4 linked regions of the Drosophila melanogaster genome follow. The protein of the gene in region 1 purifies or fractionates together with the protein of each later gene. This does not show direct contact. Each region holds a gene or a part of one and is shown in the gene's direction. Other genes may lie near its edges.

The links.
Region 2: the proteins of CG7203 (region 1) and Vajk2 purify together in Drosophila melanogaster (affinity purification with mass spectrometry, with the first as the bait; one large-scale study listed by BioGRID). This does not show direct contact.
Region 3: the proteins of CG7203 (region 1) and CG4962 purify together in Drosophila melanogaster (affinity purification with mass spectrometry, with the first as the bait; one large-scale study listed by BioGRID). This does not show direct contact.
Region 4: the proteins of CG7203 (region 1) and mol purify together in Drosophila melanogaster (affinity purification with mass spectrometry, with the first as the bait; one large-scale study listed by BioGRID). This does not show direct contact.

Annotation. Positions count from the first base shown.
Region 1 is NT_033779.5:7,749,611-7,758,100, reverse strand, and holds CG7203 (uncharacterized protein), read left to right. Parts: upstream 1-4,914; 5' UTR 4,915-4,993; coding exon 4,994-4,999; intron 5,000-5,286; coding exon 5,287-5,670; 3' UTR 5,671-5,931; downstream 5,932-8,490. Other genes in the region: CG46025 (uncharacterized protein), read right to left, coding at 1,171-1,784.
Region 2 is NT_033779.5:13,932,059-13,936,378, reverse strand, and holds Vajk2 (Vajk2), read left to right. Parts: upstream 1-1,686; 5' UTR 1,687-1,769; coding exon 1,770-1,781; intron 1,782-2,582; coding exon 2,583-3,383; 3' UTR 3,384-3,820; downstream 3,821-4,320.
Region 3 is NT_037436.4:16,291,270-16,299,096, reverse strand, and holds CG4962 (uncharacterized protein), read left to right. Parts: upstream 1-3,549; 5' UTR 3,550-3,613; coding exon 3,614-3,625; intron 3,626-3,688; coding exon 3,689-4,048; 3' UTR 4,049-4,386; downstream 4,387-7,827.
Region 4 is NT_033779.5:14,992,149-15,001,961, reverse strand, and holds the start of mol (moladietz), read left to right. Parts: upstream 1-4,402; 5' UTR 4,403-4,446; exon of another isoform or gene 4,447-5,248; intron 5,249-7,926; 5' UTR 7,927-8,063; intron 8,064-9,455; 5' UTR 9,456-9,490; coding exon 9,491-9,655; intron 9,656-9,813.

The DNA of each region.
Region 1 (8,490 bases):
AGCTATAGTCCGGGTATGGTGGAAGGCAGTCTCACATTACCGTGAAACCAGATAACAATTTCGCTTTATGACCGCGTTTCATGCCAACGAGACATACAATAATTTCCTCTAATCGACTCGTAGCGCGGAAATTGAGCAAACACTTTGTATCGAGTTGGAGGCACCGGTGGTTGGGTGGTTTCATTTATTTCTTGTTGGCCAATAGGTTCGAAATTTCAACTTTGGCATTGCCTGTGTGATGCCATTGGTTCATGCATGATGTGTTAGCCAGAGATGCCTCTATAGAGATCATGCCAAGACCAATTCATATGTCTGATACCTACATTTAAGGTATTCTGCATTTAGCTGAGCTAATGTTTTACTTCATAATTTTAGAAAATAAATGATTTCGAAGTTGATAGTTCAATTTTATGATTTAAAAACAATTGAAATTTGTTAGCTAAAAATGGCAGCACAAATGCCATTCACATTTGCAGCCCGTCAGCAAGTCATTTGATTTCCGGTTCGCCCACTTCTACAATGGTCTCCTTCACCTGCTCCGCCAACTTTAATTGCAACGTCTTCCGGCTTCGCGATTCGTGTCCAAAGAGCCCCAAGAAATAACTTTGAGAATCTGAGAATCTTAATGTGTAACCTTCGGTGGAATATAAATGCACTTTCCCGCTGTCGTCATTTTCAATTTCAGTTAGTTTTGTTTACAAGCATTGCCAGTTTCCTTGGTGGCATTTTTCTCTCGACTGAAGGTCGCAACATAATCTATGTTTTTGTTCTTCAAATCCCATTTTGCCTGCTGTTATTCACTTCATATTGCTTGTGAAACAGAAAATATGGGATAGAATGGATTTTTTTTAAATTTTGTTGTTTTTTTTAAACATATTTGGGCACTGAAATATGTATATTTATGAAAGTATTGATATGCGTTCTAATCAAGGGTTTGAGTATTGGATATCATTTTATTATAGCCCACAATGGTTTTTGTTCCTGGTAAGCTTTGCAAAAAGCTTTTATGAATTGTTACACTTAGAAAAATTACTTGAGCCTTTCTAAGTGATATGTCTTTTAAAGCGGATCAAATGAATTGATTCTTAATTATAATTATAAATTAAAGTAGACTCACAGTGCAAAAACAGCAACTTTTGGTTGAATTGAAATCTCTAGGATTAGTCTTACTTGCACTTGACTAGGTCCTGCAGATCCTCCGGCGAGAGAGCGTACTCAGGATCTAGCTGCGGAGTATTACGCTTCCGACTGCGATGTTTCCTGCGAAGACCAGATGGACTTTTTGCCCTGGAACGGACGCCCAAGGCAACGTTATCACTGCTCTGGAAGCTGGTACTTATGCCCGGATCCTGGATGACAATGATGGGAGCACTCGAGGAGCGCTCATCGGTGTACTTGACCGTCGAGGCAGCAGCTCCGCCAGTCAGTTCCTCGGCCTTGGCCTTCTCGGCAAAACTATCGCGCCGCCACGATGGCGTGAGCGTTCTGATCACATTCTGGGTGTCCGAGAAGCCCTCGTAGTTGTACTTCTTACGCAGACTCAACCCCGAGAGGTACTCCAGCGTTTGCCAGACGTTCATCTTGTTCGCACTGTACGAGGGCTCCTCGTCGACTGACCAGCAAGCATTGCGTGCAATCCGCTGGGCCAGGAGCATAGTCACTGTGGCACATCGGTTGCCCGGCGGCGGGGGTGCCCATTCCCGGGAATCGGATAGTGCAACAGTTCCGCCCACGCCCACCACTCCGATCCCGGCGGCATCAGACTTCATGGCCGTGAGTGACATATGCGGAACAGTTTGTTTAGGCCCAAATTGAAATGTAATTAAGTTTCCGATTCCGTTTAAAACTTCGTCCTCATCCTGCGACGACCGAACTTTATATGGCTACCATCGCACACGATTCTGGCTGTGCTTCTGGTTCTGTTGGTGATTCTCTGATTCTAGGTGGGATCAGGCGCCACCACCGTCGGCGTGTCCGTTGCGTGGCAGCCACGCGCTCGTACTCGCTGTTTATTGTATCCATTTTGCGCCATTAAAAATAATATCATTCTGATTGAGTGACGCGCCGCTTAAGTACTTTCCTTCTTCGTTGTCCTCGCACTGACACCATTTTCCGCCTGCCGCCGCTTTCCTTTTTATTGAACACGCAAAGTGTCGGCATTGCATTGGTGTATTATATGGTATTTCTTTTTTCCCACACCCAAATGCCTTTTCATTACCCCGTTCGCGATTGTTTTTTGGGTGGGCCCTCGCCTCCTGGCACCTCGCATCATTGTGGATACGCAGCCCAGACAAAAGGCAAGTGAAACCCATGCTAATGGAGCGAGGGGTTGCCCAATGGATTTCTCCACCACACACTGTTTTGACATTAGCCCCATTTCGTAGGGTACCTTCGCTATACAGTGAGGTTTTACTAAGATAGCAATTTAATAGAAAATTGAATACATTAAATTAGCTTTTTCTTCTATTGATTTATAAATGCATCTTCTTTGGTGCATAATTATCTAAAGCACTTTAGTTGCACTGCAAAAGTTCTTTCACAATAGATCACTTAAGAACCCTTATATTTTAACTTTTCTCTCGGTATTTGCTTTATGCAAGCTCAAAAGTGCGCAGTTTTCTAAGGACACAGTCCGTTCAGTTTCAATTTACCCCATATCTGGCAAGAATCTTAACCTTGGTGCCACACAATTCCCGACTTTAGTGCTACATAAAGCAAGGCAACCCGCGAAACGTGAGTTTTCCGGCGACCCAGTGAGAATAACCAAGTCAATTTCCCGTTTCCATCACTCCTGTTCCCCAATTACTTGCCAAAGTTTCGCCGACAGCTGATGGCTGCACTTTCTCCCCTTCGCGCCTCTGGGTGTTCATTTGCATTCGAGAAGTTGGAGCCATCTATCAAAGACTTCGTTAGCATCGCGTGACTGAATGTTGTCCGGAAATTAGAACCACCCACTCAAGCCGAAGAAGATTTTTTTTTGACAAGTTTGGGCAGCAGGATTAGTTTATGGATTAGTGATAAATAATCTTATCAGACGATGTGATGCAATTGAGTGCGAATATTTCCCCATCGCACATTTAATTGGCATGGAAATATTTCTGGGTGTGGCAGGCCAATACTTTATGTGTAAGTCTGACAATTTGATGGATGCAATAAAATATTATGGCTGCGGCTGTGGCAAAGAATCTTAATTGAATGGCAGCGCGCTGCATTGGAGCCAATCGGTGTCAGAGTCACCGAACCAACCAATTGGCCAACTCGAGTGCACAGGAGAAAAGCAGCTAATTTTGGAAAGGAGTTTTGTGTTGTTAAGGTATAAATTTGTATTTCAAGATTAAATTCAAAAGATTTTTTTTGATTCCGAATCCTATTCACTTGATGCAAAATCCTTTTTTGATTTACCTACAATTACTAAGTATTCCTCTCAGTGTAGCCATAAACAGCACGAAAAGCACTTGACGGCAATGAATTCTGACACACGTGTGCCAACCACTCAAACTTCCCCACCGCCCACCTGGCTGGTGGTTCGACCCTCAATGTTCTCTACTCACGCAACAATGACATCGGGATCCTCCCACCACTTCTTGTTGGAAGGCTGCAGCAGCAGGCTGACCTGTCGCCAGTGGTTCTTGTGCACCACCTTTGGATGAACATAAAAGTTGGAGATTAATGCTCATTTTATGGACTGTATTCCGGCAGTGGTTACCTTATACTTTTTGGGATCGTATGCATTGTGATCTTTCTCCGTAAACACCAGGCGTGCCATTTTAAAGCCTCCGAATCCTTTCTAGAACCAAGCCTGATTCTGCTTCTCAGTGGGAGTTCTTTACATCAAGTATAGTACTCGAAAATATAAAGTATGCTTGCTTGAAACGGAATTAGTTATTTGTGTATACTGACTGAAGATTTTGCTTTGACAAAAGCTTTAATTGACTGTTAAATGAAAGATATAGTGTTGTTAAATTTTTAATTTCACAAAAATTTACCCTAAAATGTACAGCTCTTACTTAGAAAAAATTAAACGTATGACAATCTCTACTGATATTCAAATGTTTTGTAATTTATTACGTAGAATTGCTTTCCGACTTAAAAGCGAAAGTGGTTTGATTTACTTATCGTTTCTTAATGGAATCAATAAATATGTTCTATATATACAATTACGGATTACTCTACAAAAGGGGGTATAACTTAACATATATTAAATTATAAACCATTATTTTATATTTAAATACCAAATAAAATTTACAAAATTTAATTTTCATATTTTAAGGATTGGTAATATTTGTAGTGAAATCGTTTCCTACATATGGACTCTGATTTTTATATGGTATTCCTGGACATATGTTGGCGTTGACTGCATTAGTGATATGCAAATGCAATCGAGAAATCTATAGTCGGTGACCAAAATGGATCAGTTTGCCGACAACTGGCGGCCGGCACATTAATTTCAGGGCGAGCTAACCGAAGTGAATTTAATTACATTCTGCTGATGAAATTTAAATGGACAGCCAGTGGTGCTGAATGTGTGTGGGGCGATGGTGGTACAGAGGCACAGTGGTGCTGCGGTGGCTTGTAATTTGCCTATCCATTGTTGTTAGGGGCACCCGAGACATGGCTTTAGTGTATATCATATACAGATATTGAAGTCATGGTTATGGATTGGCCGAATCAAATGAGACCAGTCTTGTTTTCGTCATGTCAACCGGTGTGGCTAATTGTCGCGCACTTGAATTGTCGTCAATGAATTGTGGTTATTGATTCGGGAAGGTCAAGGGGTTCGGGTTGGGGTTGGGGTTGGGACTGAAGGTATTACGTGGTTTGTTCTCTGGCCCGGTTTCCGCATTTGTGCAGCAAACATACACATGGCTGATCAATCCGAGAACTGGCCTTATATGCTAAATGAAATTATGGATCGGAGCTATAAAAGCACTTGGCCAACGGGCAGATGTCAGTTAGTTTCGTTTCAAGCGTCACTGAGATCACAAAAGCCAACATGAAGGTGAGATTGAAGGGATATCGGATAACTGGAGCTTAGTTACAGCTAGTGTTATGTAAAAGGACAACATGAAGGGATTTATGTTGTTTTTAGTAAAACATTTCTATACAAATTGGTATGCTGCAAAAGTAGACATAAAAGATCTTTATCGAGTTATACATAAATTAATATCAGATCGCTGAACACATTACGACCCCATTCAGAGAAACTCCAAAATTAAAAAAACTTCAAATAAGTTATTTTTATCATAGTTCCTGAGTTTCCATCTAAATCAAGATTCTTATTTTCAGTTCGCCGTTGTCGTAGTCCTGTTCGCTTTGGCCTGGGGTGTCAACAGCTCGGTGGTGCCTCTCCTGACCTCCGCCCATGGTCTGGTGGTCGGTTCTCCCGCCGTCGCCGGTTCGGTGGCCATCCAGGCATCTGCGGTTCCCGCTGCCGTTCCCCTGTCCCTGTCCCCAGCCGGACCCGTGCTCATCCAGTCTGGACCAGCGGTGGTTGCCGCTCCCGTTCCCGCCGCTGTGGTTGCTGCCCACGCCCCCGCCGTGGTGGCCGTCGCCGCTCCGGAGGCCAGCTATGTGGCCAAGACCCGTGGAGCTGTCCATGTGGCTCCTCTGCCAGGACATGTGCAGTCCGCTGCTTCCGTGAACTTGGAACCCGCACCAGGCACCTGGTAATCACCTGAAATGACTTCTGGATTACCCCTACATTGATCCTGACCGCCACTTGCTCGCATCTTTACCACATTTTTTGGTTTTTTAAGTTACCGAAAGGTCTGTCCTCTGCTGAGATCCCGTTGGGTTCTCATTTCTTCAGCAATCTAAGTCAATCCTATCCAGTCTATCGCTTTCCGCTTTACTCTCTGGTCTATATTTATCCACCCCGCTGTTGTCACATGGAAATTTGTTTCTTTTTGAATAAAAAAATGTTATTAAAACAGTTGAAAGGCGTTTTAGTTACGGTTGCTAGCGCTTAAGTAACTATTTATATGCCATTAGCAGATGTATCTAGATCGTGGTCCCAGAATATTTATTTCAAATAATTTTTACGCAATTACCAGGGGATCGACTCACCTTTTTTAACGGCAATTAGAAGCCACACCCTTAGCCCAACTCCCACGCCTTCAAGTGCAGCAAACATTGGACAGCTAAATGGCTTAAAACAATCTCGATCGATGGCCGATTACCGATGCCAGTAATTAATCAATTCCGGGGCCTCAGACCGGCGCTACAGCAGGGGCGTTGACAAAAAGCCGCTCCAGAAATGAGACGCAGTTGCTCGGCAGCTGGACAACTTTGTTGCCAACTCATAGTACAAACTGCCGTCGAACCGAACTGGTCTTTGAACTGAAAACGAGAGTACTACTCGATCTGGAGCAGGGGCGGTTTGCCTTGATCGCCGCACACTCGCACTTGCAATTATTAATAGAAAAATGTGCACAAACTTGATATGGCCGCGATGAAGTTAAGTAATGCCCATGCAAAGTAATGCGGTTCAGATCAAATCCGCCTTAACGCCCACTGCAGACCCCTGAAACCCGTTAGGCGATGATCCCGATTCCGATGGGATATATAGGACTATATGCTGTTATATCTAGTGAAATATATGAATAGTAAATTGCAATTTATATTAAATATTAATAATTTCAGTATGCCAAAAATATAGTTGAACTTTCTTCTTTGCACTTCCAGCGGCTGAGTAAGGAGTAACTGATAGTTGAGGAAATCGACTCAAGCGTTCTTTCTTATGTCTATATATTTTTTTATAAGACATTTAAAATTATAATTTTCAGGGTATCCCATATGGTGAGTTCAATACAAAAATATTAAATATACTGGCTTAATGCCCCAACATTTTGACCGAAAATAGACTTGACGGAAAACATGATAAGCGAAAAATGCCTAGGCTTTCAATAAAAGTGTCAATTGTCGGCGAAACGTGAGGCCAAGAAAGGGGATGGGGAATGGAGTGGGAGGGGGAGTCGACTCAGTTGGGGGGCGGGGAGCCAAGTGGCAGCTAAACAAACGGCAGCGAAACATTTTGCCGCGTTGTTTAGTGTCGTGTCGGCAGCCAAGCCCCATGGCAATTGGCCATAAATCTAGACCCAGCCATTCACTTTTTGTTTTCTTTTGCTAGCCACAAGTGGGCTTAACTCGATCGGCGGCTGCGTGCACGCAAAACCAAAGAACGCATGACGCGGCTACCGAATGCAAGTTGGCTTAAACCGCCACCACCAGCCCCCTTTCGACAAGTTCAAGTTTACGCACTTTGCGGCTGCTTCCTGCTTCGAACGGGTTCACTGCACTTGAGCCGAACGCACTTAGCTGTTTCTGGTTTCTACGCAGAATCGAGTTCAACTTGGCCCACTGCGTTGGATTTGCTTTTATTATTGGTGGTTTACGCAATTCGCACTTCATTCGTTGGCAAGGCGAAGGCAGTTCACTTTTAGTTCACACGGAAACTAAGTTTGCCAATTTGCATCTCAAAGGTAGTTGATTTTAGATCATATTATGGATAACTACTATCTGACTTAATATGATGAACTATTTAAATAGTAAATTGTTGCTGGTAAATAAAAAGCATATTAAATACCATGGCAAGCTACTTCTGTGCAATTTAATTACATATAAAGAATGTTGACTTCATAAATTTTGTAATTTATACTATATAAACAATTATTCAATTTAAGTGTTTATTATAAGTTGAGTAACTTAAAGATAATAAAAAGTAGTTCCAAATAGATCGTTTATTGCTCGAAAATTTGCCATATCCGCATTAGTTTTATTGACAATAAAAAGCATATAAAAATGCCACACCACATTTATGGAGCAGGTGTGTAGAAAAGTTGGACTTTTTTGTGAATCCGCATACAGATATTTTTGCAAGTGTATATAAGCATTACATCATTTAAGCCATCCACTCTCGTGTGGGCGATGAGTTGTTGAATAAGGTCAGTGTTCCGGCGAAGGATCGAGAGCAAGTTCTGCAGTCGAGTGTGATTCATTCTGCAGAATCGAACAGAACAGGGCGTTTTTCCGTGGACACTTGCAATCCATTTTCGAAGCCATAGAAGCAAAATAAAAAGATATACCGCTCCATTGCTGGATGGATTTCGTAACACTATAACGGCACGGCTTTCTTATCCGCACCCACAACTGGTTGGTGGCCTAAATATAGTTCGGCCGGCAGTTGCAACCTGTAGCCAAATACTCGCAGTCGAGTGAGCGACAAGTATCTGGCGGGTTGCATGAGCGGCAAACAAACTTGTTGCACACACTCGTTCAGATTTCTGTGATTTTTCGTGGCAGCAGCTGGATGGCAAAAAGGAAAATATGCAGGAAAAAAGGCGGCCCATAGCCCAGAAAATTCCGACAGCCACTTGCTAACGTCACGAACACACTAACCAGGCCATAAAACTCATATAGAACTCGTTGAATTAGCAACAATTGTGTGGCTAAGCTCTTTGTTAGTTGTGACAGTTGTGTAGTGACAACCGC
Region 2 (4,320 bases), 6.2 Mb from region 1:
TTATGTCCGCGGCGTTATGTCCACAATTAAATTAATGCACATAAAACCAACATGATTTGGTGCCCGTATCTGTTCTCCTTTGTGCGCGTTTTGCGGTCCACTCATTGTTCACACGTTCCATTTACATGGCCATTGGCGAGTATTTCCTCTGCAGCATTAAAATGTCAAATTACCCACACTGCCACAGCATTCAATCAATGCACCCATATCAAGGCTTAAAACGCCGCTCAGCCTGGCCAAAAAGCTGAGAAAAAAAAACCGAAGCAAACAAGAATACGGAGCCAAACACAAATCCGAGATCAAAAGTTCAGTCACGAAGCCACACAGAATCAAGCAGACTATGCGGCGCATGTTTCTTCTGCAGCCAAGCAATTTACATTCAATATGCAACTGCAACTGCAACTGGATTTGTAACCTGAAATTTTCGGAAATGTGTGGCTAATGTGAATTTAACTTATGGCTGTGGAACACTTTGCCCGTTGTGTCTAATTTGATTATGTGACTGAAGTGCTCGCGGTCAGTTATTTATTAATGGCTCAAGGCTTTGGGGCAAAAATTTCCCAACACTAAGGACTAGTCAAAATTATGCATTAGAAAAGTATTTGTGATCTCTTTTTTAATGTATATATTTTTTAATAATTATGAAGGTTTCGTTACCAGCCAAAAATTACTCATTTATTTATGGTCCATAAATTTTAAACTCTTTATGTTCATTTTTAACTTTGTTAATATTTAATTTTTAATTGAATAATTATTATGTTTATAATTAATGTTCTTTTCGAATGTGTTGATTTCCAAAGATTTATGTAAAATGGTAAGAAATACAAGTAGTTTATTTTATTTGTCGTGTTCATTAATGTAATTTTACCTGGGAAACAAACACTAACACTTCATGTATTTATGTGAGATTTTTACAAAAAATATATTAATAAGATATATTTGTACAAAGGGAAAATGATAATATAATAATGGCTACATATAACAATACTAACTGCGCAAAAAGACGTCGGAGGAAGGGCTCCGATCTAAAATTACATAAACTTTCTAAGGACTTTTAAAGCTGTTTACTAAAATTTTAACAATACAAAATTTATCACTTTTCGAATATTCTAGAAACAAACTCTGAGACTCTAAAACTCTAAAGTCGTTGATTAAAATTCATACGTATATGATTAAAAAAGTCTATATTGTTTGAACTGTACAATTAAGAGCGATTCTCCAAAAGAATTGATTGGATCTCTTTGGTAGATTAAGGCAAAATTAAACGAAATTACCCATTTGCTATGTTTGTTATGTTGGCTATTGGCAAGAAACGATTCTTTCTACTAAACTGTGCCCCCAGTTACTTGGTGTCTGAATACTTTCAGTAGTTCCCAAAGATCGCTACAGTTGGAGCTCGAGTGTTCACAGATACGCACTCATACAGGCGCAGATCACACGGACAACATGGACACTGTCCGTGTGAGGCACCCTCTTTCGAAAAAGCTCGCTTGCTGACGCATTTCCTTTGGGCCACGGGCTCACACGGACAGTTGGCCAAGAGAGAGAGGAGCTGTCGAACGGATGGAGAGCGAGCTTTTTCAACACGGCTGCTGCGATCTCGATTCACGTCGACTGCGCAGCCGCGGCTGAAGACAATCCCGCCACAGCATCGGCCATATAAAAGCTCGCTGCGTCTGTGCGAAATTATTCAGTTAACTGTTGCGGGTTGGTTGAGACATACAAGCCCATCTTGATCGCAAAGTGTTGAGGAGCTAACCTAGTGCAAAATGAAATCCATGGTATGTTCGGTCTGAGCTCAGTGTGTTCTCCTTCGAAGTGCTGCTTAGAATAATTGTGTTTCAAAAACTCGGATTCAGTTAAAGTGACTTGCAAAAGAATATATATATATATATTTATGGAACAATGTAGACATATCGGTGTTGCAATTAAAGTATTTTTAAAAAGGTTTTTGCACGACTTCATCAGCTCTTTCAAAAGCAAGGATAGAACGGATATTCTAAAATGTCTCTAGATATGTTACTTTTTTGTGGCATTTTGGTTTACCCAAGTAAATATGAACATGGTTTTAAGAAAGGATTTTTAGAGAGAAAACTAATTGAAATATTTAATTTTTCCATTACCAGTTCTACATTTAAATCTTATTGAAAGAAATCACATTTCATAATTACTAAAATCGAAAAGTGTTAAGGATCATTTTAACCCGAAAAGGATAGGCAGTCCTAGAATATGTTTTTAGCATTTAAAAAAGAAAACAAAAATGTAGATTCGTATTAAAAAGCTTTGAACGCGAAACTACAAAGAGTTGAATTTGCCTTCTTCCAATTTGTATTTTAACCGAATTATTGCGAAAATATCAAGCCACATTAAGTATACGCCGCATGCCCAATATGTCAGGGGGCCTAGGCCACAATTGAACTTGGCTGGTTGCCCAGCCAACTTTCCACCCAACATTGCATAATTGTCATATTCCAAATTATGGAGTAATCGGGCGGAGGTGGAGCCGGAAGCGGCTGCAGTTGCATAACCGCCCGACCAAGCCAATTGGGTTTCTATCGAATTTAACCCACTTGTCATTGCAGCTCATTTTCGGCCTTGTGGCGATGTGCGTGCTGGTGGCCAACGCCAGTGAGGAGGCACCCAAGAAGGCCGTCGAGACCGCCGAGCCCGCCGAGAAGAAGCAGGAGAAGCGCGGCATTGGCCACGGTCTGGGCTACGGATACGGACCATCGGCGGGAGGCGCCATTCTGGGATCCGGCATCGGTGTTGGAGTTCCAGTGGCTCCCGCTGTCGCTGAGCTGCCCACCCAGGTGCACACCAACACCGTGGTGAGGACCGTGCAGGTGCCCTACCAGGTGGAGCGTCACGTTCCCTACCCCGTCGAGAAGACCGTCACCTATCCCGTTAAGGTGCCCGTGCCCCAGCCCTACCCCGTGGAGAAGATCGTCCATGTGCCCGTCAAGCAGATCGTGAAGGTGCCCGTCGAGGTGCCCCAGCCCTACCCCGTCGAGAAGGTGATCCGTGTGCCCGTGAAGATCCCAGTTGATCGTCCCTACACCGTCCATGTCGACAAGCCATACCCCGTGCCCGTGGAGAAGCCCGTGCCATACACCGTCGAGAAGCGTGTGATCCACAAGGTGCCCGTCCATGTGGAGCGTCCAGTGCCCTACAAGGTGGCCGTGCCCGTGCCTGTCCACGTTGAGAGCCACGTCAAGCCCGCCGTGGCCGTCACCCACACCGTTGCCGCTGCTCCTGCCATCATCAGCCACGGCTACTCCGGACACGGAATCTCCGGATACGGAATTTCCGGACACGGAATCTCCTCCTACGGCAGCTCCTCCTACGGCGGCTCCGCCCACGGTGGCTACCTCCACAAAAAGTAGATGAAATCGCAATGCTGTCGAGGGCCAAGCGAGAAGTGAAGTCGGGTGAAGGCGAGCGAACCAACCAACAAGTCGAAAGTATCCAACAGACATTAAGAATCAAGCACCCCTCCCTCTCTTTCCACGCCCAGCAACCGCCAACGTACGACTTACAAATTTAGTTTTAGTTTGTGATACCAACCGAAATTCTGGAAGGATCGGAACCAGGAGAAAATCACACAACTGACGCAATCCATTATAGAAAGCTTGCCAAAACCCATCCGGGGCGTTTGAAAAGTGCCTGTCTCCTGGCATCCAAATCCATCGAGTGTACAGTTCTTTTGTAGACAATCACAGAGAAATAACTGCTGACGAGTTGCTCCTTCGACTTTTTCACGTAAATTTCTTTTCTATGAAATATTTGTACATATTTAAATAATGTAAATAAAACGAAAATTAAAAAAAAAAAACTTAAGACTTGTACTTTCAGAAATACTGGGCTTTCCATTAAAAAAAAAAAAGATAGAAGTTCGATAGGATATTTTTAAGGTATATAGGGTATTTTCACTTAATGAGCCTTTTGTTTAAGCTGAAAGCTTAATTTGTATTGCTGCATTGCTATTTTGGAATAAATACATTTTTTTACAGAAGTTATATATCTGTCAAGTTAAAACGTAGCCATAAAGGACTACATATTATATATTTACATATTATATATTTATATATAATATATATATATATTATATATTTATGGATATTTATTAATTTTTATGAGGGGGTGTGGAGTTACTCTTAAGTGGATTAATACAGCTTATTTTAGTCAAAGGATATTCCCACAACTATGCAATGATTTATTTATTTATTATAAATTTTGGGAATTATTCTGAATTGCATTACAGTGCGTCAAGTAATTGTTCGCAAACAATGTTTTTAAAACTGTAAATTTAGTGAGTAGGCC
Region 3 (7,827 bases), on another chromosome or scaffold:
GTTCGGCCGTCAGCTGAAGCTCGTGATAAATTGAATTGCCACCTCTAACTCAGATACAGATACTGCCCTCACAGGTGTGCAATCATGCTTAAAATCTCGCCCAGTAATTTGATTTCAGCACAAGTTCAGGGTGAGTAACTACACAAGTCACCGAATTGCTCTAGAACAATCTAAGATCGTACAGCAATCAGTGGCAGCAAAAAGTGAAAGTCAAATTAGATGCACTAGAACCTGCTGGATTTGTACAACAATAGAAAAAAAAAAACTTGGGGAAAAGGGGAATGCGAAGTGTGCACCCACATGAGAAGTAAATTCAATTAAAAAGCACTAATCGAGTAACGAATTATTTCGGACAGCCCCTCGCATAAATCTCCGCAACTGGGAGTCAAACGATTTGCATACAATTTGGCGACACACAACTCTAATTTACGAGCGTCAAAAGGGGCGTGAGTTGTTCAGCATGTTGTTGCCTTTTCAGTTGTTGTGGTGCAACTCAAAGTGGAAACGCTCGGCTTCGATTTAACTACTTAATTATGAAGCAGATTTTGGTCTATTTGCATTGGCAGCCAGAGAGCGAACATTCAGTGAAGCTGTCAAATGATCTGTGACCAAAATAGTTTTAGCATGCAGCAGGCTGATCAAAACAACCAAATTAGCTACAAAAACAAACGATTTACGTGCTATGAGCCACATTGCGCCATGTCCCCGTACAAAAAAAAAGAACTTCAAAGCAAAATGAAACCAACTTTGCAAATGATAATTGTTGGCCCAACCTCGAGGCTGAGTCGAAGGTAAAACAGCTCTGGCATAATACAGTAGCCAAGGAAGGGTGGCAAAAGGGGGAGGATGGGATTAATCCACCTTAGTTCACTTTGATTCCATAAATGAAAACACTGCTCCACGTTGGCCAGTGTGTTTTTCTAGAGCTTTTCACAGCGGTGTCTGCCTGACATTTGCTTTATTGAAGGTGGAAAAACAAAGCGTTGATTGGTACCCTAGAAACATAATCACGGAATGATATTTCAGACTCATTAAAAAATACCCACTCGTAATAGTCGGGCTACGAAACGATTTACGGAATGTAAGGAAACTGTATTTATTCTGGAAAATTTCTGATACGATGCTTTGATTTTGGAGTTGTATCTAATACGGTTTTTACAATATTAAGTATACGTATATATTAAAATTTAACTTAAGTTAAAGCTTACTCCACGGATTTGGTATGCATTTATATTTGCAAACTAATTAAAAATAAATACATGAAGGTTTAGACTCACTTTGATCTTAGTGCTGAGGGTTTTCCAGGGTAATTAAGTAAACGCAAATGTGATTTTTGCCAGCCATTGTTACAGTTTTGCACTTGGCTGTTGTCGCTGTTCCTCTTGGTATTAATCATTATAAAACGAGTAATAGTCAGGCTTTGCTGTACACATTGTAATGTGCACGACATTGTGACAAAGGCTGGGGTAAGCACGGCCTTGACCGAGTGGCGTCCAACATGTGGTATACTTAATACTTAATTGGCCACACTCGAGTCACAGCCAGCGATCCGCAGATGGGAGGGAGTCAGCTATGCAAATTGGCCTCCACCCAACCGACAATTATGTTAAACTATAACAAAAAATATATAATAACTCATTGCGGTCACAAGCTGGTCTAATCAAATGCATGTAAGTCGAACTAGTCACCTCTGCTCCATTTGCGAACTCCAGACTTGCGACTTGGGAAATTTCCTTAACCAGAATGGGGCGGACAAATTTCAGGTCCGACTATTTCCCCAGAAAAATCGCATAAATCACGAAAGGAAAAAATATTGAGTTGAGCCACGAGTTGAGTTGGAAAATTGACGGCTTTTAATTTCGACTTTTGAATGATTTGTTGGCAATCAAAGTATTTTGGGCGTCGCTTGGGAAATGCGAATCTGAATCAAAATCGAATGTATGCATTGGATGGACGTTGCTCAATGGCTAGCAGACAAACAGAATGCAATTGGTAGGCCATTAAAATGCAATTACAGGCCACCAGAGTTTGGTGGTCAGCTGCAATCGGAACCAGCACGAATAAAACCAAAAATCCAAAACAACCGAGTGGGTGGCATATTTGGTTTTGTAGCTGCGGATCGATAGATAGCCACGCAATTTGGCATCCTGTTTGGTGTCAATCAAGCCGCCTTCGATTGAGATTTATGCGACAATTTGGTTAGCATTTGCATAACGCCACGGGTCGAAATCACGAGGTGTTGGCTTTGGTGAAGGGTTCGGCTTAGTTTTAGATTCGACTAGCACTAAGCCCCGTTGATATGCAGATTGTCCATTTGGGGTCCAATCAGCAACGATGGCCAGGGTCGCTGAGTCGAAAGAATTGTCGCCATCGTAATTGTTTATTAATTTATGACTCATAAACTTTAAGTCGGTCTTTGTTCGCCCTGAGAGAATTTCGATTTTTATACAACTCTTTGATTCAATACACCGATATTCAAGGCTCAAAACAAGCATTTTGCAATTCTTTTCGAGCCTCGTGTTCTGACTGATCCCGTGATATGATTTCAAAGCTGTTTCAGAATTAAGCATGGCTATTAGGAAATCTGGCAGGCCATTCGAAATGCGGCAAATATGATTTACCTATGTTTCCAATTGACTACGCTCCTTCCACCCAAGTTACGCATACGCCATGTGCGCGATAACAAATCAGTTAAATATTAATGCATGCAAAATATAGGCAAACCAGCTGCCGTCCAGCAGCCACCAAAATGACCAACTGCACCAATCTCCACTCTGTGTTTGTCAGTTATTAAAGTGAGTAATTTTTCATGGACCACTTGAGTTTATTTGCTGCGTGGAGAGGCAGCTCCGATTGATCATTTGCATCTGGACAACAACATTTTCCACACCTACGGATCTCTATATCTCTAATGAGCTGTCAGTCAGTCAGTCAGCTGATTGATAATAAAGTGCGTGTTTTCGGTTTTAGAAAGGATTTAGGCAGATATGCTTAATAGGCTTGCAGGCTTATATTTAAATAATTTGAACACGTGAATTCAACGGTTTTGAATAAAACACAATATTCATAGATAAATTTAAGTGCTCTTTCAAAGGAAATGTTACTTAATGGCCAATTTAGATCACTGGAATAATTGCAAAATTACTAATAGGCAAAACCAGATTTAGCCGTAGAATTTTCTCAGCTGGAAACCCCCAGAAGACAATTGTTCATTTCCACGACGAAATGAATGGAAATATAAAAGTTTCCGTTAGAGCAAAAGTCGCCGACAATAGCTGACGAAAAAAATACAAATTGAATTAAGTGCTCGTGGTGGTTCTCCATGAAAATCTTGGGGATTCGGTGGCTAAAATTGGCGGTGGCTCAGTGGCTCAAGCCAAAGCCGCCGCGTGACTGATCTCTTTCGCGATCTGCTGGTCGGCAAATGCACAAAGCTTCGGCTCTCGGCCGTCGAAAGGGGCGTGTTGGCTCTCCCTCTCCGCCGCTCTTTGGGCCAAGATTTGTCAGAATATTTCTCATGTTGCGGGTATAAATAACAGGGCTACTTGAGACGTCTAAGCATAACACATTCAGCTCTTCGGTCAAGAAGTCCAAACAACACAAAACCAGCAAAATGTTCAAACTGGTAAGATCAGGATTAAAGGATTACCGCTCGTATGAAGTTAACATAGAAGTTTCTTTTCCGCAGATTGCCCTCATCTCTGCCCTGTGCGCCGTGGCCAATGCCGGAGTAATCTCGCCCTACAGCCATGGATATGGACTGGGATACGGCGCCGCCTTGGCTCCGGCTTATGCCGCTCCGGCTGTGATCTCGCACGCCCCGATCATCAAGAGCTACGCCGCTCCCATTGTCGCCCACCCGGTGGCCACCTCCTATGCCAACACCTACAAGGTGGCCACCAAGGCCATTCCAGTGGTCCATGCCGCTCCTCTGGTCCATGCCGTGCCTGCTCTGCACTCCACCTCCACCTACCATGGATCCTATGGCGGCTACGGTAGCTACGGTCTGGGATACGCCGGCTACGGACACGGAGCCTACCTGCACTAAGGATCTGGATGTCGGAAAGGATACCAGCCCCCCGTTGACGACCCCGATTGAAGTGAGAACATTAAGCGGATAATTCGCATTTTGCTGCCGTCAAAGTGTTGAATTTGCATTTCGTAGTCAGAAGCGGAAATACAAATTGTGTACAAAATCCCTCAAAAACCCAGACACCCACTTGGAGACAGAGACAACTAGAGAACTAAGGACAACTAACGGGAGGCGGCGAGAGCGAGAGAGATTGATGAAGGATCAAGTTTCGTTGATTTTGTTATTATGGTGCAACTCCATGCATTGTGGCTTCATAACATTTTGTAAATAAACGATAAATGACTCTTTAAACGAATATGATGGCTTATTTCATTTACTGGTTGCTTATATATGTTAGTTTAAAAATATTCACTTGAAATTATGACGGATGGATATTTAAGATCCATATCCAAATATGCCTTACTACACACAATTCAATGAAATCTTTACGATACCTAACGTTTTGGAAGCAATATGAATTTTCAGAGTAATGTGGAAATATTTTAATTTGCCGTTTTAACACACACACATTTCGCAATGTAAGCCACTTAACTCAAAACTAATTGTTAAGGGGACAAATGTCTATTTATGAAGTGTGGAATTATTTTCAATTTAGTTTAGTTGAGCGTGAAGTGATCAGTTTTATTCGCATTTATAAGGATTCCAGATAGTATTGCTAGTTCGTAGATGCGAGCATTTCACAAAAAACTGCTTGTTCAATGATTTTCAACTGCGAACTTACCCCAACCATCCGATCGCCATTCAGCATTCAATTGCACTTCAAATTAATTTTACTTGAGCAACTTGCTCGATTCATATCGACTCCCGTCGGGTGTTTTGAAACTTGCAAGGAAAAAACCAAATACCAAAAAAAATTGTTTTATTGCAACGCCTTGCCCGGCCCACCTGCTCACTATACCCCCCCCCCCTCCTCTAACAATTATCATTGCGGGGAAACGAAAGACTCAAGCGACAAACGCGTGCGCCTGTCAACAGGTTGACCAGTGAAAAGTGCGTTGAAATATCTTTTTATTAATGGCCGGCCAACTGTCGCAGCTAAATGCTTTTCGCCCAGTTTCGCAAATGAAAAATGGGAGCACATCAACAGCTGCTGAAAAGTGAATTGAGTCACTTAATTACCTTTTTAACGCCGGCCAGCTGATCCTGGACCGAAAATACCAACTATAATTCATGCGAAAATTGAAAAGTCGTGTATTGCGCTTTGCCGGCGGCGTAATGGAAATCAATTTACGATTTTACTTAATAAATGTTATCTCGCCGAGTGAAAATCATAAGATGATGGGTGGGGTTGCTAAATATAATTCATATCGCCCATAACAATAGGCCATTGTTGGCAGCTCTTCGACCTTGACAGCCATACAACTCAATTGTGCCCAGCTATAGGTTTAATTTGTCTCAGTTCAGCTCGGCATAAATTATGTCCCCCTGTTCATAAACCATGTCGTAGTTATGGGCTTATAGCTTATAAAGACAGCAATACCGTTAGCTAGTCAAGCGAAAATTCGGCAAACGACCTTCGATTATTTGCAGACAAAAGGTGGGCCACAACTTCTGCTTCCTACATCTCCCAGGCCATTGAATATTCATTCGAGCTCGTCGGTTGACACTAAGTGGATGCATTTTGTGGCAGGTGCTCTCATGGCACAATTGCAGCTCTCGCAAGAGATTCCCACAACCTCGCAAATGCAACACACCTGTTGTTTACCTGCCGCCCTGCAGATTGAGTGGAAAGTCTTACATGCTTAATTCTCGGTTTCCCCCTTCCAATGAGTAGAGTATATCTGGTTAGCCCGAGAGTATGCTAATTGAATTATTCAAGTGGAATTGGCATTACTCGTGCTCTAAATTATTAACAAGTCACTGATTTCAGGCAGGGCAAGGACCTTTTCCAGGATTCAAGACTAAAAGTCCAAACCCTCGGGCAGTGCAATTAAAACTGCATTGAAACGAGAATCTCTCTCTCTGCTGGCAAGTTACGATTCCAAGCATGGATAATTAATTTCAAAGGGCCAAGCTCCTTTCCGGGAAACTTATTCCTGGCCGCAGGACAGGCACGTACTGGGGAAAAGGGAACTACACACGTTTTCCGCTGACCTTGCCCAGGACATTGACCAGCTGCAAGCAAAATCATCCGCACACCCACACGCCAGCATCGCCAGCAGTAACTCGATTGTTATTTGTGAAATGGATTTGCAACCGATAATTAAATGCAGCTCTGACCTTGGAAGTCCTTGCACCGAGTTCAACGACTGACCTCACTGCGTATAAGCAAGAAGGAGCTTTATCGCATTGTATAAATAATATGGTGGGGCAACATTGAAATTCAAATGAAATTGCGATTGAAGGAAAGCGTGTACATATTCAAAATTGATGAGCGAAAATAATTTTATGATTTGGTATACATTCAACGGTTTCCTCGAAACGAAAAACCATTTGAATAATATTTGTAGCATATCTTCCAGCTAACAGGTTGTGTGCAATCAATTGAGTGAATCAAATCAGCTGAAACTTCAATAGCTTGCAACAAAGTATTATTTTGGTGGTGGATGGGGGATACAAATTCGCACTTGTTGTTGCCAAACACGTGCAGCGATTTAGCACGCATTACATTACAATGCGGCTCCGTTTCAAGAGCACCTGTTGCCAGCGGCGGCGGAAAATGTGTGGAAAATTTGTATGGAAAATGGGGGAAAACGCGAAGCAACCACTCGAGGAGTAGAATCAGCTCAAAAGCTGGGCGTGTGCTCCACTTGGAACACAAAAGGAAAACAAAAAGAAAAACGTGCGTGGAAATTCCCGCTATCTGTGCCCCCTTTTTCGGTTCAGCGAAGGTGAACATATCGATTTCTGATTTAGCCACTTTGTTATGCTAATTTCCCCGGCTTTCCCGTCCTCGATTTTCCTCTGTTATTCTTTTTTTTCAGCGTCCTGCTCCTGTGTTGACAATTTCGATGAGCGCGTGTCGCGCATTTGGCAACCCAAATTTAATTGGCAACCCGTGCGGGAATTTCGCCTGTTTACGACAGATTCTGGACCAGATTTTATGGTAGCAATTCCATGCACACGTTTGCCCACTTTTGGGCGACTTGGAGGCGATGCACAAGACGCGGCCAACTTTTGGGCTTTTCCACGGCTAATTGAGAGCAACGAAAATGGCTTTGTTGGCGGCGGTAATAAATCGACTTTTAACTGGCGTGTGATATTTTGGCATTTATATTTCGGCAACGGCCATCAATCAGAGTCATAAGGCATAAAAAGGTGCCTGGAACGTGATCGCAATGGGTTTCTTGCAGCTCTTGCCACTTGCTTGCTTTTTTTTTTTTTGTCTTATATTTTATACTTTTTTGCAGCTGGTGGCGGCGGCAGTAAAAGTTGCTGCAGTGTAGCGCGTGCATTCGTAAATGTGATCCATGGCTTTGGGCGAATGAAGTGCACATGATAATGGCTTCTGAGGTGGAAGAGTTTAAGATGTTGATCCGAAGAGAGGGGTGTGTTAAGGTGCATATCTTATATCTGAGGAATTTATTTAGAAGATGTCTGAAATAATACATATGCTTATTAATTTTAACACCATCTATCCGACTACAGCAATTCTGAATTGGAATCTAATAAAAAATAAGATTGGATAGGTTGACTTCTTGACTTCAAACGGAGTCACAAAAGCATTCACATCTTTACTTTACTGATTCGGAGTTCTTAAACTGTTAACAATTTTTTTTTTTTCGGTAAAGTGT
Region 4 (9,813 bases), 7.2 Mb from region 1:
TGATGCATTTCTCGTAGCTTATTTGCCTTACGTTAATGCATTGTTCCAATTTTGATTGCTCTATTGGACTTCGCTTACTCTTTTTATTTTTTTCTTTTTGCATGCGGGCGCTAATAGTTTTGAACCTGACGAGAGACCTAAAAAATAAGCCAAATTCAATTTTCAGCTTTGTATGCCATGGGCAAGGCTAACCTCGAGCCACGAGCAGCGATTTAGATTCAGTCTCAGTATTTGGATCGGTCTGGATTTCGGGTATTAAACATATATAATTTGATTCAATTTGGTTTCTTGTTGTGACTCGGCTTGTTTCCACTTCCTTTTCGCCTTTCAGCGCGCTCGGTAAAATATGATATAATATAAAATGATATGATATCGGTATCGGTTTATAAGCCCTCCAACCCACTTAGCTGATAAACAGGTGATTAAGTCTCTTGTGTCTGTCAGTTGATTGAACTTTAAAGGTTTTCCAGCGACTCAGTGTCACATTCGTTTGGTTTCTCGCTGGGTGGCCCACTATTTGGTAATTGATTGACAATGATTGACAATCAAACTCCAGTTTGTATGAGCATATATTTCCATATAGGTAGCGTGCTCAATGGCTGGGCTTATTATTGTATCCAAGGCTTCCGTGCGAAGTGTGCCTCGGAAGTTGTTAGTGGGTGGAAGTAATTAAATTCGATTTTAAACATTCGATAACAACGAGAGTGGCGGTCAATGGTGGCTATGTAATTTTTTTGTGAGGGTTCTGTGAACTAGTGGCAAGGGTATCGCATCCGAGGTCAATCAGCAAGGGAAAACCTGGCCATACTTCTTACAACTAAATACTTTTGAGCTATTTTAAGAATTTATATAAGTAAGCATATTTCAAATATACTGATTTATATTTAAATACTCCTCATTTGTATATATAAGTTTTAGAGTAAACCATTTTTGATTACCAATAAATACAATCAATGAAGATAACTTTTGATGGATTGTAGTTCTAAACAGTGATTTTATTTAATTCAAAATTACCAATTCTTCTCATTGCCACCTCGTCAAGGTCGCACCTGTGGCGCCCGAGCACCTTTTAAGTGCCCCCCTTCCATCAACTGCCACAATTAGCCTCCAGAACCACCCAAGTCGTGTGTGTGTGCCGCCGCCTGTCACATCATCAACGCGCTCGTCAACAAAACAAGCCACCGGCCAAAATTGTATTAAAAATTAATTAAACAAAAAGCTGAGACTAATGTGAAAAACAATATAAAACACATTTGGCGCTTGCACTTGACCTTCCTCATTGCGAGCACTCGGACCAAAGAAAAAAAAAAAACGAAATGTATTAAATGTGGGAATTCGGGGGCTGAAAAGGCGGCAGGCATGCCGCATGCCACGTAATTCGTCGGTAGCCACTGTTTTTGCTGGAATTTCTGAGTTTGAACTTCATGAATTTAATTTGTGCGTAACGTATATTTCGCTTGTTTATAGTTTGTCGGGCTGAAATCAAGGCAACTGAATCGACTGAATTCAATTTCGGCGACTGTCGGCCGGCTTACATGGCGTATGCGCAACTTGATTAATTTATTACTCGGCGCATGTCTCTGAGTGCGTATGTAATTGTAATTGACATTCAAGTCGATTACTTCCTTATTTGGTTTTAAGTCAATTTTAGTGACGCATAGTTCGCTTCACTCGGGTAAACCTTTTGGAGCGTGAAATAAACATATTATTTTATCACTCAATTAATAATAATACAAAATACAGAAAATCTTAAGCCGTTTGCAACATTTTACTAATCATAGCTTATTCATAAGCCCTGCAAATCCAGTAAGTTATTATAATTTTTAAAAGCAATCTGCTTATTTGCCATCGCAAGCACTGCGGCTTCCATTAAGCCCATTATAATTATACTACAATTACCATTCCATCGACAGACAACAATCTCCCATCGCAGCACATTTAATGCACTATCATCGCACTGAACGGCAAAATCGAGAAGACCTTGAACTTGAGACGATTGCAAAGTAACTCCGAGAGCATCAGCACTCGCTTTATTTCCATTATAATTTTCCATTACACTGCCCTTTCCCTTTTTTTTTCGTGGTATAAACCTGGGGATATTTTGTATCTGCTTTTTTTTTTCTTCTTTTTGCCGCTGACAGCTGGCAGTTGAGTTATGAATGCTTTTAGTGGAGGTTCGCCGAAACTGAGTCAGTCGAGCAGTTCCAAAATCGGCAATAACAGAAACAATGTCCAACCGAAAGTGACCGCCGCGTGGTTTGCATTCCTGATATGGGACACGTACGGTGTCCGTCGTTTTTTTTTGTGGTCTACTTCGTCGGCGATTCTGTGGCCCCAGGGACCAACGACCGTCCTCGGTCTGGGCGCGCCAAATCCGTAGGCATCGCGACACATCCGGATTTTGTGTCTGTTTTTTATATTTTCATTTAAGTCTTAAACGGTAGCCGCATTATGCGTAGCTCAGAAGTTATCTCCTCTTGTCGAGTGATTAATTTTAATTTTTTTTTTTCGCTTTTATTGCTGAATAATTTTTATTTACTGCTTGCAATCGATAAATTTTTGTTGTTCGAAAAAGGGCATTTCATGTTGGCCATTCCCGTGCGGCCTGCAGTCGTTGACCGCTTTGAACTGACCTTGCCGCGCGAATTTTCGTTAATTTCAACTTTGTGGTCACCGCTTTGCTGCACTGGTCCGGGATGCTGTTGTTTATGTTTTTCAGACTTTTCTGGTTTTTATCGCCCATCAAGGTGATAGGTTTGCATATAAATGACGCTAGAACAAAAGACTTTGGCGACGAACTCGTGGTGACTAAACATGTGTACGAATTCACTGTGAGAGCAGTCAAAAGAATTGGTTTGCCCCAAGATATTTATTTTAATGGGAATGAATCATTGGACTGCGTAGCGGAAGTTTATTCGTAGCTAGGGAATCGATTATGATGAAGTCCGTTTGCCAATAAGCAAAAAAAAAAAACTAAACACCAGTTTTAAAAACCTTTTTCGAAGCATTTTTAACATAAAGTAAATATTTCAGTAGTTTAGATACTTCCTTTATAAATTGCATGCTGTAAAAATAGTTATACGACTTTAGAAGTTTTTCAGCCAGCTTTAAGCACCACATTTTTTTCCAAACACAGAATAATACTTTTTTAAATCCAAAGACTAAGTACATCGGCTAAACTCTAGAGAGCCTTACGTATAATGAATTACTGATTTTACAGCAATATTTACATTTTTGTTTATGTATGTTTTTATGGCTAATTTTGCACATCATAAAAGATTCACTACTAAGGCAAAGACAACAAGATCTAGCATACTGCGGCTGAAAAGTGGCTTTGGCGTCGACCAGCCAAATTTGCAACTGTCGAGATTCACAAGTCGGATGGATTGACTGGACATAAACAGAGATCACGGAGGCTAACTTGGTGATTTGGCTTGGCGTTGGTGCGTGGCACGGTAGTCGCTAGTAAAAATTCAATTAGCAAATTAAATATTAATTACCAGACGGGTCTCTATGCTAATTGAATTAGCAATAGTAGCAGCTGGCAAATAACTAAATAAAGGAAAAAGTATTGGGGGTTTTTAAGTTGGAATGCTGCGAAGATGGAGTTTTTGAGGATTCGTTTTAATATTATCCAATATTTGGCACCTATTTTTTCTGACATAATTGTTTAAATTAAAGAATGTTGTATGAAAAGTGGAAATTGCAATTTAAAATTTGAAATTTTGATATTATAACGATTGCATTTTTGATTATACAATGCAATTACGTTTCATTAAGTTTTATTTTGGTTTAATAATAAATGTCTCATTTTAACATACTACCTTATAAATAAATCTTTTGTTTTTATGTCCAGTAATGCATTATACATTAATATTTTAAGTGGGCCTTAATTTATATCAACCAAATTAAAATGTCAGATGATAAAATTACGTTTGAGAGTTTTATTTTGTTTCCTTTTTTGTAACAATGCAAGTTCTAATATTTTCGGAGCACAGCTGTTTATACTAATATTATTTCTCCTCGTGACAGGTGCCAATGCTATTCTCGCCCGGCTGATTAAAGTATATAATTTGCCGCTCGGCTGTGAATTTAGTGTGAGGCCAGGCCCAAGATGAACCAGTTTGCGGTTGGAAAGTGTGGCAGCCTAGAGTCGGACAAGGTCCCTGATCAGGAATAGCCCTGGCGATATAGCCCAAGTTCCCTGTCGGATTTTTTGATATTTTTTATTTTAATAATTTTTTTTTTGATTTTCTGACTTTCCGACATGACTGCTTCATAAATTCACACTCACTTAAGCCTGCAATTAGCGGTCGAGCAAAAAGCTCCCATCGCTTTGGAGCTTTGGCGCTCTGTTGCTCTCTTTTGGGAAGGTTTTGTCTTTTGCTCACCGCTCTCGGCGTTCAGTTGATCGACGGCAAGCTCTCGAAACGGACGCAGATTTTTGTAAGTCGCCGCCGCGCCTGCGCATTTTAAATCAGTTGCAACAAAAAAACAACGAGAGGCAGCGAAGACGAAATCGAATTGTGTTTTTATTTGTTTGCTTTTGTTTTGTCTGTGTGTTATGCCATGCACAAAACCACCGTGTTCGTAAAAGTGGAGAAAAATCAAAAATCGAAAATTCAAGCCGAAATAAGTTTGCCAAAACAAAAAGAAACCGCAAAAGCCGCGTTATAATAACGCAAATAACGGTATTAAGTTTGAAGCTCATCTAGTTATTTATGCTTTGCTCCTCGTGGTTGTCTGCAAAAATAAAACAAAAAAGCTTAAAACAAACAACAGTGTCGAAAAACCTTAACAATTTGCGCGCACATAAAATATAATTAAAGCCAGCAAATTTTTGCCTTAAACATAAAAAAGTTAATCAACTTGGTTGCAATTAAATGTTGCAATTTATTTTTTTGCAACTAAAGTGCGAAATATTCAGTGCAATACAATAACAAAAATAAATAAGTTTCTCTGAAGCAATACAAATAAAAGTTTCTCTGTAGAAATATAAATAAAAAAATACCAAAATCCATATTATCAAAAATTCAATAAGATATGTAAATAAATAGTTTGGTATACTCAAGCAAAAATAGAATGCTGAACAATGGATAATAAATTATTTATTTTTTTGGGTAACAAACTGATTGCCGAGACTTAAAAGACACCGAGAACTAAAAATAAAATATGATAGATCAAACAAAAAAATTCCCAAACATCTAAAGAGGGAGTCCGCCATTCCTCAAACGTATGTGTGATGGGTGTATGTGTGGGTGGGAGCGGGAAAATTGTGTTGGTAATTTCTAATGCACATTTTCCCTTTAGTATTACCCAACACAATGTTTTATTACCCTTACAGGAGTAACAGGAGTAACTAAACCTTTGATATTTCGATATTTATTAAAACATGAAAAAGAAAATTGATTATAACAACTTCCAGCAATTTTAAACCTTTTTTTTGTATTTTCCGCGAAAGCGTACATAAAGAGCGTATTTTTTTTAATACCCCTTCCTTTTACTGTATTTTCCTGCCTGCCCTTTTAGTTGTCGTTGAATTTGTATGACGTGTGTGCATCAGGTTGATTTTTGTGATGCGTTTTGCCTATGTAATTTCCATGTCAGGCGTTGGGATTACTTCATCTCCCGTTTCATTTCCTATATGGCCAGATGATTCAAACCAAACTGACCAGCGCAAAAATGAAAACAAAAACTACTGCTACAAAAAAACTAAAAAAAAAAGTTGCACGAAAAAGCCGGTTGAAGGCAACTCTTACATATTTACACGCACCAGCGCTCATTGAACACACGCCGCCAGCAGCAACAACAAAGCTAGCACGGGAAAAAATTGTTTTAAACAGTTACTAATATTTTTATTAATATATTAGTAAGGATTATATTGATAAATAACAGTACTACAAAAAGTAATATCAAGATATTCATAATATTCATATATGACATAAATCATACAATTCCGAGTAATTATTTTCTCTCACTGCATTACAGCAACAGCAACAAAAGCAATATCAACAGGGCGACACAGAAACCTGTTGTTGTAGCTCTTGGTGCCTCTCTTGCTGTCTCTGTCTCGTCAAAAGACATTTGCAGAGTTTCCAGCTGCGTGTTGATTATGTCAATTTCATGTTTACTTCATTTCCTCAATCCACCGGCAAAGGTGTTAGAGAGAGGGGTATAGTGGGCGGAAAGGGGTGCGCCAGCAATTTCACTTTCGTTGGACTTGAAAATAAAAGCTGCAGTCTCTGTGGCAGTGTGAGCGAGTGCGAGAGAGAGAGAGAGAGAGAGATTATTGGAGCAAGATGGAAGGAGGTTGGAGCTTGGGAAAGAGAGCAAGTGAGAGTGAGAGTGCGCACAGCAAGTGTGCTGCATACGGTACTTGGATGCTGGTGCTGCTGATGCCTCACTTGCTTTGTGGGGCGTTGCTGCACCGTGGGTTATTGCTATTTAATGTTCTTGAGCATAAAATTGTGGATCGTGACTTTGGGCTCAGCAAATAATTCGTTTCACTAATCCGTATTGTTTCATATATAATATATTTTAAAAACCAGGTGACTAGTCACAATAACTAACTAACTGACTAGTTACAATAAAAGTTTTACCCAATTTTTTCAGATATTATGATGAAATCTTAAAAGAAGTGATACCAATTAGAATGGCTAAGCTCTGAGATATTTGAAGATTATTATTATTATTTTTGTTTATGAATTGTTATACTCTCAGTTTTCATATTTGCTTGAAAAGTTAGTTTGTTGATGTTTTAAGAACAATTATATGAATTTTGCAATGTTCATACGTCAATATAAGGATTATTATGTTACCATCCTTTTAATAACTGTACCACTGTGCGCCGGCGTCTTTTGTGTGCTACTCGTCGCATATTTTCCGTTTCGTTTTGTAACTGTAATGTCTGTTTTTCCCATTGTCCGATTGTTGCTGGTTGTCGCTTTTGTTTTGCGCTTATAACGTAATAACGTAATGTGCTCGAAGATTTCCACATGCGATGCGTCGCACCTTACGTTTTGGTGCCAAGTCCATCGCCGACGTCGACGTTCATTGTTTTTGCAGGCAATTGAGCCAATAAACTGACGCGAATCGTAGCGACTTACAAATTCCTGTCCGAAAAATATGCGAAGGTCAACCAGAGGGGCAGCACCAACAACCACAACGATATCGAATCCATAACAAAATAGTTGAGAACTCCCGCAAGTGGAGTTTCATACGAGTATGTTTGGTATTCGCACCTTCAAACATGATTTCACGGACTGTCAGCTTGGCAAAAATTCTAATTATAAATGAAACAATTTATTACCGGGTTTTTAAAATAAAATGCAATTTATGTGCAAAGTCTGGCGGCGGCGGCGGACTTGACTAGTTAAACCGGTTGACTGCCAGCAGCAGCAGCAGCAATGAAAAAAAATGGAAAAAGAACCATTGACTCAATGGGGGTGCAGTCAGCAACAGCAAATTGCAACTGCAAGGAAAACATTTTTCTTAAATATACGGAATTAATTAATAGAAGTTAAACAAAGGATAATTTCTTTAATAAATTCTAAACATTTATTTATTACGGCAGTGGTGAATTCGACAAAAAAAATTATAATTTAACCAAATGTATTTATTTGAAATCTATAAATTACATCTATATAATAAAACAAAAGCTTCGTTATATAACTCAGCAATAAATCTACTAAGTGCAATGTATAAAAAATCCTAATGAACATGTAGTTCAAAAATAACTCTAATAAATTTATCTCGAATAAATCAAACCGTTTAAAATCAAATAATTGAATACATGTTCACAGCTGTGAAAACAAGAATATTTTCGGCAAAATATTTCAACAAGCATAACCGATGTGTGTGTAAAATTTGTGCCTGTCTATATTATTTAATTCATTAATCATAAATGCAAATTTCTTGATTGTTTAGATACGTCTTAACGGCTAACTCGAAGCTATAAATTGGACATCAAAATTGGATTATACAAAAATAAAAAAAAATAACAAAGTGAACACGAAAAGTTAATAACAATTATTTTGTATGCCGGTTTCTTCTTGACAAGTTTGGTAAGTGAACTTTAAGACTTGATGAATGAGACTGAATGATAAAATAAATGTTAGATGACTTGTTGCCGCAATAAACGCCGGCTAATGAAGAAATAATGGTTTGCAAACAAATTTAAAAATAGGAACAATAGAATCATTGCGGAACTGGCCAACTTCATAGCCTTAAGCCAGCGATCTGAGTATAATTCTCTTTCTTATTCCTCGTGTTGGTTTACCCTCGAGCCACTCAACTTTCACAAGTCAGAACTCGTGCTGAGTGGGAAAACCCAGTTGAAGCATACTGAGGGCAAGCTTAATGTCTGTATAAGATACCTACATCCGCGTGCCTAAGCACGTAACACGTTGCGTATGCGCAATTTCCATACTCCTTCAATCAAGAGATGTGTGTTTGTGTGGGGGGTTAAGTATTAAATTCAGCAACACAGGTTATTATTTATCAAATATGAAGATGAAATACTGTGGGCCATTAAAGTCAAAAATATACACAGACTACAAATGGTACAGGTCATCAAATCATTATTTTATTAGTGAAAAAGTAGTAATACATTCTTGGGTATTTTTCCTTAGATTAATAATTTTGTATTTATTTATTCATTTACCAAGATAACATATACTGAATTATACGTAATACATGAGTTCCTCCCTCGATTGCCATTAGCATATGTTTTTCATTTTTGCCAGGGTATTTATAAAATCGCTACGACCGTGCAGCCATTGTGTTAAATCCATTCAATTTTATCGACACTTAATTATAACTTTTGCCTACGTCATTGCTTCAGAAGCAGAAATCAACAATCGAAGCTGATGATGGTTTCTCGCCGGTTTCAGTTGCTATTTTGGTTTCTTAATTGTTCAAGCCCCCCACATGGCATCTAAAGATTTCGACGTAGCGTTTTATTGGTAATTTGTTTGTCTTTAGATCCGGCTCTAGGTCTCATTTCTGGTTTGTTAACTTTGCAAACATTATTGTAGAGCGGTCAAATCAATTTGGGTTGTTTCTGTTTCTAAAAGAACATTATGTCGTTCCCCGTGTAGATTACTTAACTTTTATACATTTTACATTTCCGGGTGATACTCTTAAATACCCAATGAACTTAACAAAAATATTTGCATATATTTGTCTGTTTACCAAACTAATTTTGCATTGAGATGCCTGCCACTTGAATCTAAAGTATCTGCTACCTAAAAGCTTAGTCACGAATTGCAGATACGTGGTATCTGCCAGATGCGATGAGATCAGTTGTGCCGAGTTTCGCATGATTTTGCAATGCAAATCTTTTAAATTAAGTGCTCTTGCCAAATACTCCACGCAGATATATCCGTCATATTAATTTTGGCGTTTTTTGCCGCAATACTTTTTATATAATATCTCAATTTTTTTGGCTCGCATAGATCCCAAAACCCCGACATCAGCAACAGCAACCAGCATGAAAGGCTGGTTCGACGCGTTTCGAGACGATGGGGGACCAACGCTATATTCCTTCTCAAATCGAACACCCGTAACCGGAGATGTCTCAATCGTAGCCGTCTCAGTGCTATTTGCCACATTCTATGTAGCATTTTTAGTCATCTTTCCGGGTGTCAGAAAACAGGTGAGTATAGAGCCCATAGAAGACATTTAATAATAAGGCTCATATTTCAAGATTGCATTTAATATCTGACTAACTTAATTTGACGTAAAATATTGGTAATAAAAGTCAAGAAAGCTCGTTGGTTCAAATTAATCAATTTATATTACTTTAAAAATGCC